Coturnix japonica: one gene and its partner. The protein of the gene in region 1 interacts with the protein of each later gene in a biochemical or structural test. Links are inferred from orthologs where the notes say so. Each region holds a gene or a part of one and is shown in the gene's direction. Other genes may lie near its edges. The genes, in order: PBX1 and HOXB1.

Region 1 (4,506 bases):
TCCTGGCCATGCCTGACTGCTCCTCCAAGGCTCCGTGCCGGGTGCCTGCCTTGGAGCAGCCCCTTTGGAACTAGACTAGACTTGGTGTGCGAGTGAGGGGATTGACTAAGTGTCTGAAAGGTTGGGCCTTTGGAGAGGAGTCCTTGGCTCTTTCTTCCTTGGATGAAGTTCCATTTCCTGCGCAGCCATGGAGATACTGAATATTTTCTCCTCGTTTTTGGCCTTTTCAACAACAACAACAACAAAAGACATAGATACATCGCGGGTGAAAAGCTGATGAAAAACATTGGCAAGCCAAGAAACAAAAAGGACGTGTCGAGTGAAACGCTTTGCAGCGACAAACATCAAAACATCTCGCTTTGCCTTCAACCGCTTCACAACAGCCGAGCGGCTTGAGAGGAAATTTCCAAGTGGAAAGCTGTGTTTTGCTTCAAATATTGGAAAGCGTTTCATTAGAAAGGAAGGGCAGAAGCAAAACAATTGCCTTGTTGTTATTATTTTTATCTTTCCCATAAGCTGGATGGCTCCATCCCCGACCTCAGCTGAGGTCAGGGACTGGGGCTGGGCCTTCCCTTGTGCTGAGAGAACAGCTGAGACCACCAGACCTCCATGGAAGCCACCTCCACGGCTGCCTGGTCTGGTGTATGGCACTGCACCAGGCCTGATGATCTCAGAGGTCTTTTCCAACCTTAACAGGAGGCATGGGGGGCACGGATTCACTGCACGGGAAGGCCCCACCGGTGGGACCTCGTGGGTCGGTGGAGGAGATAAAGCACAGCGAGGAGATGAGGATGGCTGAGGTGAGAAGGAAGGAGCTGCTTGAGGCACGGAGTGGGGGGACCAGGGAGGCGCCGGGGGTGACGGCGGGGCCGAGCTGCTGCGAGCCGGGGCCGTTGATGCCCGAGAGGCCAAGGAAGGATCCCGGCCTGCAGTACCGCACCGCGGCGCTGCTCGTTCCCACCCGCCCCAGGCCGAGGCCGCTTTAAGGCGCGGGCGGGGCGCGGCCCCCGGCCCACCTCTGAACCCGGAGATTGACGGGCGGCCGCCGGGAGGGCGGTGCGGCCCGTGTGGGCCGGCCTTCCCTCCGCCGCCGCCAATGGGGCCGGGGGGGCGGAGAGCCGCCGCTGCCCCTTCCTCCCTCCTCCTCGCCAACCCCCCCCCGCCTCCGTCCCTCCTCCTCGGGCTCCTCCGTGCCACTTTGAGGAGTCCGGAGCCGAACAAAAGCGGGAGGCGAGGGCCGGGGTGAGGGGTGGGTGGGGAGCGCCGCGTGCAGGCCCGGCCGGAGGGGAAGGCGCCGCTGCCGGGCGCGGAGCCGAGCGCGGAGGGTGGGGGAAAGTTTGGAGCCCACCCCCGCCGCGCTCCCGCCGAGCTCCGGCCCCGCGGCGCTGCCATCGCTGGGGCCGCCCCGCTCCGCTCGGCGCTGCGCTCCGCCCCGCGGCGCCCGCTGCCCGCCGGCCCTGCCCGCCCTGCCCGCCCCCCGCCGCCGCCTCCCGGGCCGCGCCGCTGCCCTGCTTTCGGAGTCGCCGCCGTTTCCCCTCCCTTCCCCAACCCCCCCCCTCCCTCCTCCCTCCCTCCCTCTTTCCATCCCTCCTCCTCCTCCTCCTCCAGCAACCAAAGGGATTTTTTTTTTCCCCTTTCTTTTCTCTCTCTCTCTCTCTTTTTTTTTTTCCTTTTTTTTTTTTTTTTTTTTTTTTTCCCCTCTCTGTCTCTGTGTGTGTGTGTGCGCGTTTTTTTTCCCTCCTCCTCCTCCTTTTCCTCTCCACCGCCGAGCTGGAAGGCAGCGTGAAGGATAAATAATAATAATAAGAATAAAAAAGCCAAGAGGAGGAAGAGGCTGCGGGGAGGAGGAGGGGGGGGAAGGAAAGAAGAAGAAGAAAGCGAGCAAGAAAAGAAAGCGCGGAGCCAGGCGGGCAGCCCAGCCGCCGCGGCCGGCAGCCAGCAGGGAGGCGGCGGAGCGGGAGCCGGCGGCCGGAGATGGACGAGCAGCCGCGGCTGATGCACACGCACAGCGGGGTGGGGATGCCGGGCCACCCGGGCCTGTCCCAGCACATGCAGGATGGACCAGGCGGGGCGGAGGGGGAGGCAGGCAGGAAGCAGGACATCGGAGACATCTTACAGCAGATCATGACCATCACGGACCAGAGTTTGGACGAGGCGCAGGCCAGGTGAGCGGAGGGCGGGCGCGGGGAACTTTACCGGGGGGAGGCGGCGGGGGGGAGAGCAGCCCGGCTCGCAGCCCTTTGTGCGGCTTTGTTGTGCGGCGGGAGGGCGGCTTCCCCGCTCCCCTCGGCTCGGGCTGCTGCTTCCCATCCTCGTTTCCATCGGAGTGGGCGTTAGGAAATAATTTTTCCTCCTTTTCTTGTAACTTTGGGGCAGTTCCTCGCAGCCCGCTCGCTCCCGCAGCGCGGTGCCGCTGCCCGGCGGGGCCCAGCGCCGGCTTGGCGAGGCCGTGCTTCTCTGCTGGCAGGGTGAGCGCACCGCCTGCCTTTCTGCCTTTAATTTCCTTACCCTATTCTTATTTCCCTCCCCATAAACCCCAGGGTATTCTTAGAGAAGGAGGGAAAGGAAAAACTGTAGGGTATGGGGTGCGAGCGAAAGTTGGGGAGAGAAGAAAACACCATCCAACTTAAAGGCAGGGTTTGAGGGGTAAATAATGGGAATTAAAGAGTCGGTCGGCCTTGTTGGGGTGCACTCAGAGTTCACCCAGCGTGAGGCCGAGGGGTGCAGTGCCACAACATCCCCTGCTGCTGGGAGAAGGCATGGAAGCACAGCACAACTTCGGGATAGCTTGCATGGGGAGCGCAGCCCTCACCCCACTGCTGGTGGTGCTCCTGGGAGCAGGACGACGCAGCACACTTTCTTCCCATCTATAGGGCAGAGAGAGCTCTCTTCTCCTGGAAGTTATGGGAATTAAGAGCATTTAGGGTGCTTCTTCACACTGGTCCAACTCAGCTGCCCAGACCCGAGCAGCCTTAAGAGGTGGTGAGGTTTTGCCTCGCCGGGCAATTCCTGCACCATCTTCATAAGACTTTTTGCTGCCAAACACTCATTATTTAGCAGAGGTCTTTGGCTTTGCATTTCCTGCACCCATCCAGCTATCATAGGGGTGTTCTGCTGCTTTTTTACTTCTTGTTGTTTTCCTCCTTAACTTTGGGGCTCGGCCTCTTCCCCGCAGTGTGATTTGCAGCAGGGCCCCACTGGTGCCCCTACGTGATTTGTGCACCCCAGTTCCTGCTCCCATCTGCTAAGGGGCGCACCGTGGCTCCGCGAGGTTTATCCACCTTTGGGGATGCTTCGTCGGCCGCATAAATCTCTCCCAACATGTTGTGGGTGGTGGGGGGGAAGTGGTGTGAATGTTTGCCAGATGTTCACATCGGCTTCGCGTGTTGTTTCGGTTGGTAAACAGAAATCCCGTAACCGGCGCCTGCTAAGAGCAGCCCTTCGTACCACACAGCCCTCGGCCGAGTCCTCATAGGGCTGCAGGAGGAACCCACAGCCATCCCGTGTTGTTGCTTTGCAGGCATCCAGCGGGCTGTGAAACCTGTAAAACCACCCTTAAAAGCTCTCCATTGCCCCAAACCTACAGGCGGAGGGCGGCCAGCCCCGCAACGCTGACCTGGAGAAGGGAGCATAGAGCGCATAGAGCGCAGTGCCACCGCTTCCCAGCAGCACCAGGCTGTGTTTTGTAAATACTTCCTGCCCCAATTGAAAGGAATTCAACCTTACCACCTGCAACGAAGCTGGGTGCACACAAGGAGTGCGGCACGGGTGCGGAGAGCCGGATTTATTTCTCCATCTGCGCGCGTGCCTGTGGCTGTGCGTGTCGGTGCTCCAAGTTGGGCGCTGAAATTGCCTGGGTTGACAGCTCTCAGCAGAGGATGTTTCAGCACTGGGGGGAGGTGAAGGAGGGGGGGGCTTTTCTTCCCTCTGCTATGCAGGATGAGGATGAAACACATGGCTGGCTTTAGTTTGGAGGTGGGAGACGGAGGTAGCCCGCCGCGGTGCTGCGTGTGTGTGAATGAGAGTTAAACCAAGCCTGGCTTCTGAGCTTCCTGGCTCGGGGAGCTGCTTGCCTTGAGAGCAGCTCAGTAGCAAATGCTGCATTGAAAGCCATTCAAAATTGGCCTTATTTCTTCCCTTTCCACTGGGGAGATGGCTGCTGGCCGCTCCGGTACTGCACCCCCGAGGTCCTAGCAGGGCTCTACCCCAAGCATCCCCCCACCCTTGGGGCACACCAACAGGCTGCTGTGAGTCTGGGGAAGTTGTGGCTGCACCTCATCCTAACCTCACCCCCTTTTTTTTTTTCCCCTTTTCTCTGCAGGAAACACGCTTTAAACTGCCACAGGATGAAGCCGGCTCTTTTTAATGTCTTGTGTGAAATCAAAGAAAAAACAGGTAGGGAAGCCACGCCGTTGGTTTTGCTTTCTGCTCTTTGAAGGTGTTATTCCACAAAGTTTGTGACCCCCCCCCCCGCCCTGATCCTTGTGTGTGGGAGTGTTTAAGTGG
Region 2 (4,399 bases), on another chromosome or scaffold:
TACATGAATAAATAGAAGCACAGCAGTGGAAATAGTTTCTTCTTATTCTTTTTATTTGGGGACGAGAGATGCAGTTGGGCAAAGCTCACTTTCTCTCTAGGGGACGTTTGAAGACGGGAGGAGGGCTGATGCTATTGCAGTTGCTTAACAAATGCCATCCCAACGGGTTGCATCAGCCACACCAAAGCTCTTGCATTAAAGAACGTGCTTATGCCTTTCAAAGTGAACTTTTGGCCCGATTTAAGGAGGGAAGAAAGAAAAAAAAAAGGCCCTCCTGGCTCTTCCTAGAGGCTGAATAACCAGTAAATATCCTGACAAGTAACAAATGACTGTGGGCGTCATATTGTTGGGTGCTCTTGTCTTCCCTTTGCTAACAAGTAAATAAATGTTGCCTACCTATGTTTCCATTCTCTGAGCAGTGGAGTGGCCGGGCTGAAGTCAATGCCTTTCCACCTACTCATCAGATGGGATCTGCTAGAGGGAATCTCCAGGATCACAACAGACTCAAGGAAAGGTCAAAGCAGGTTCGATGTAGGAAAACAGCCCCTAAACCCACCGGTTACAGCCCTTAAAAGCATCTCTTGTTCTCAGAAGTGGATGTGTAAGCAGGTCGGTACATGGGAGAAAGGATGGATAGAAAGATCGGTGGGGTTAGTAAAGAGACATATGTGATTTCTAGTTCCTCTGCTCCGATTGCTAAGCTGGGCATGGTGTCTCTCCAACAAAAGACATTCTGTCTTCCTAACTTTATTTCAACTCCTCATTAGAATACAGATTTAATTACGTTGCTTTCACCCATACTGGCCCTGCACACAAAGCCAGAGTGATTTTATTATTAATTAAGACACATAGAGCAGTTTTTTCGTAGGAGTTTTAGCCCAGGAAGTTCCAAATATGTTCAACTTTCAAGGGAGAGTTTCACAATGAAGAAAAGAGCATCCTTTTGTAGTTGGGGCTGTGGAAGGGAGGAAGCAGTCAGACCTCCCTACCTCTTTTTCCCTTGTCTTCCTTTCAGATGAAGCTAAGATCGGAGAAAACCTTTTATTAAGTTGGGGAAGGGGAAATTCTGCTGAATTTGGCTAACCACATCACTTGGGAGCCTTTTTAGCACTTAAAACAGTCGTAGATCATTCTAACTCTTCCCCCCCCCAGTCCCCTCTTCCCCATCACCTCCCCGCACCCCACCTCCCTCCTCTCTTTTTTAAGTCTTTGAGGAAAGATTTTGACGTATTCGTGTTGTTATCAGATTGATGGGCAGGGTTTGATTGAAACCCCTTTGTCATGTAAATGTCATCTCCTTGATGGATGAGCTCAGAGATGTGACAAACTTTAGGAGCCCCTCGCTCATTGGGCTGGGGGTGGACCACGTGGACCCCCCGCCCCCACCCAGGCCCCGCCGAAGGCTCCGGGGTTCGAGGGCCAGCGATGCATGGAAGGAAGTTTTACAGCTTTGACATACTATCTAAAGGTTGTAGGGCAGGCGGAATCCCCCCCAAAACAGGCTGACCCTCCTCCATCAGTGGCAGATGGACAATACTAGGATGAACTCCTTCTTAGAGTATGCAATTTGTAACCGTGGGACGGGCGCCTACCATCATTTAGAGCAAAGCTCCCCTTCCTTCCCCTCTTGCTCAGGTAGCCCCTCCAGTGACACTTACCATGGAGAAGGGCGCTTCGGTGCTGGGGGCAACACGGTCTCGGCCACCCACCTCCCCCCGCAGAGTCCCGGCTTCTTCCCCGCTACCTCCGGGCGCTCCGTGCCCTTCTCGGCCGCTGCCCCGAGCACCGGGTACCCAACCCAGAACTGCAGCCCCGGCTACGGGCACCACCAGCTCTACCTCGGCCAGCAGGACTCGGACGGCGTGTACTTCCAGGCGGCCGGGTACTCCTCCAGCTCCGGACCCCACCTTGGCCCCCTGGCTGATGGCTATTGCGGGGCCGTAGGGCAATACCAGCAGCAGCACCTTTACGGGCAGGAGCAGCCCGGTTACTTGCCTGGGGTTTACGGCAACCTCTCGCCTTCCCTAAATGAGGACAAAGACCCCGCGTGCCCCTCCGAGCCGTGCCCCAATGCCAGCTCGGCGCGGACCTTCGATTGGATGAAAGTGAAGAGGAACCCCCCCAAGACAGGTGAGTTTGGGGAGCGCAGGGCTTGGTGGGTGGGTTGGGGGGGGGTCCCCATCCGGGCTGAGAAGGGTGGGCGTGAAGGGGGGGCCGTTCTGTAGCCCTGATACGAAATGTTGTCTTCCTTGGGGTTTCTGCTCGAGGTAGTTGGGCTCCTTTGCTTGAGGAAGACATATTTTTACTCTTATTTTTCAGCTCTATAGAAAAAACAGCTAGCGATTTTCCAGGCACACCTGGCAGAGGGTCACTGAGCTCGCTTGCCCTAAGGCCCAATGCAGTTTAAACCGAGCTCCGAATAGGAAACGCTCCCAGTTTCCTGCTTCCTCCACAAAGGTGGTTTCCACCTCTCTCATTGTTCAACATCCTTCTCGAAAACCTTCCTTAAATCCGGAACTTCCCTCCTCTCCCCCGCCATCTTCCCCCTGTCCCCCCTCTCCCCCTCCCCTTCCATTCCCTCCCACGCACGTTCAAGTTTCATGGAACTTTGCAGGGAGCTGGGATGACTGCAAGAGAAAGGAGACGCTCTGCAGATCCCAGGGCAGCGTTTCCCTCCCGGTTTTGTGCCTGGAAAGCCAGGGGTGCTGAGGGGAGGCTGAGAGAGGTGGGGGTCCAACACGCAGCACAGGGGATGCCCACTCAATCAGACAGCCCCAGGACCCCCAGGCCCATATAGGGCCATCCTTCTGCTGCTTCTGCCCTGTTGTTTTTTTGCTCCTTACAGCTAAAGTGTCGGAATACGGGCTGCTGGGCCAGCCCAACACCATTCGCACCAACTTCACCACCAAGCAGCTGACAGAGCTGGAGAAGGAGTTTCACTTTAACAAGTACCTCACCCGGGCCAGGAGGGTGGAAATCGCCGCTACATTGGAGCTCAACGAAACCCAAGTCAAGATCTGGTTCCAGAACAGGCGGATGAAACAGAAGAAAAGGGAAAAGGAAGGTCTCGCTCCTCCTGCTGCTTCCAGATCCGGAAAGGAAGCGAGTGAAGCTTCGGATCAGTCCAACTGCACCTCACCTGAGGCCTCCCCCAGCTCCGTGTCCTCCTGAACCGCGGTCCCGTGGGACACAACGACCAGGTCGGGGCTGCCTTCGAGGGCTGCTGCCCCCCTCTGCTCCCCGCAGCCCCACCCGCACTGCCCCGCACAGCCCCGGCCTCACACGGCTTCCCTCCGAGCCGCCCCTTTGGCTCCAGCCGCCTCCACCCGTGCGCTGCCCATTCCCCTTTTGCCTTCCTCTCTTAATTTATAGACCCTCCGTCAAACGTTGGACTCCAAAGGAGCGGCCGTGTCCTCATTTATCCTTAGCAATAGGCGTTTGTCTCAGGGACGTTTCTCCCTTCTTCCCTTCCCAATAGGAACTGCACTTTCAACTACAGAAACTTGAAAACGAATTTAGTTCTTTCCCGTTTTAAAGATGTGCACAACGATTTTTGTCCGCACGCATCCTGAGTTTGCTGTATTATTCCTCCCCTCGATGTGGTTAAAAAAGAAAAGTTTGGCTTTGTTTCCCTTTTATATTTACTCTGTGTATCTCGGAAAGAGCCCAAGACGCTGAAAGCCTTTGGGAAGACCCGAAAAAGAAAAGAAACAAAGCAAAAATGCAACTCCTCTGCTGCCATTTTGCACTACCGCCGCTTGACAGGGTTTCCTACGCGCTGTCCGCCCGTATTACTGATCCTGGGGGTGGGAGCGTTGTGCTATCAGATAAAACGAGATAAGGGGAAGGCTGAGCCCGGGGTGCTTTGGACAACGGTCATTGCTGCACCGAGTGTGAACGTGCACGGGGTGAAGGCCGGGGGGGTTGGGGAGGGGTCCGCACTGCGCTCCCCCAGCCCCGACGCATTGACTGCTGTTTATTGGACGTCTCGATAGCCTCAAGTCTTGGGGTGAAGCCGCACGGCTCCTTGTATCCCCAGCCCCTTAGGTTTATCGGAGTCCGATAAAAAGAAACATTATTAACCACGGCCAGTTGTTACCCTTTGCCACCAGAAGCTTTAGCGCAGGGAGAAGTGAAAACCACGGCGAGTTTCGTTAAAGATTGTTTTAAAGGGATAAAAGGTCATCCTGAAAAGCCTGTGGTTTCTTAATCGGAATCTGTTTTCCCTCCACTCCCTTCCCCGTGCTCTGTTTTTCGAAATGAAGCTACCTCAGTTTAATAAAGTTTACTTTTTCCACATTCGAATCCTGTCGGCTCTAAGCGGAATGGCGAGCTCCCACACCCAGGAAAATGCACGGGGAGAGCAGCCGGGCTTGGAGGGAGGAGGAGGAAGGAAAAG

What was found.
Region 2: the proteins of PBX1 (region 1) and HOXB1 are reported together in a solved structure, tested with the Homo sapiens proteins (2 studies listed by BioGRID and IntAct, with this or other methods). The link is inferred for Coturnix japonica from reciprocal best matches to the Homo sapiens genes PBX1 and HOXB1.

Annotation. Positions count from the first base shown.
Region 1 is NC_029523.1:6,332,230-6,336,735, forward strand, and holds the start of PBX1 (pre-B-cell leukemia transcription factor 1), read left to right. Parts: upstream 1-1,672; 5' UTR 1,673-1,974; coding exon 1,975-2,165; intron 2,166-4,321; coding exon 4,322-4,395; intron 4,396-4,506. UniProt on the Homo sapiens protein: Transcription factor which binds the DNA sequence 5'-TGATTGAT-3' as part of a heterodimer with HOX proteins such as HOXA1, HOXA5, HOXB7 and HOXB8. Binds to the DNA sequence 5'-TGATTGAC-3' in complex with a nuclear factor which is not a class I HOX protein.
Region 2 is NC_029542.1:3,236,939-3,241,337, forward strand, and holds HOXB1 (homeobox protein Hox-B1), read left to right. Parts: upstream 1-1,526; coding exon 1,527-2,130; intron 2,131-2,845; coding exon 2,846-3,171; 3' UTR 3,172-4,297; downstream 4,298-4,399. UniProt on the Homo sapiens protein: Sequence-specific transcription factor which is part of a developmental regulatory system that provides cells with specific positional identities on the anterior-posterior axis. Acts on the anterior body structures.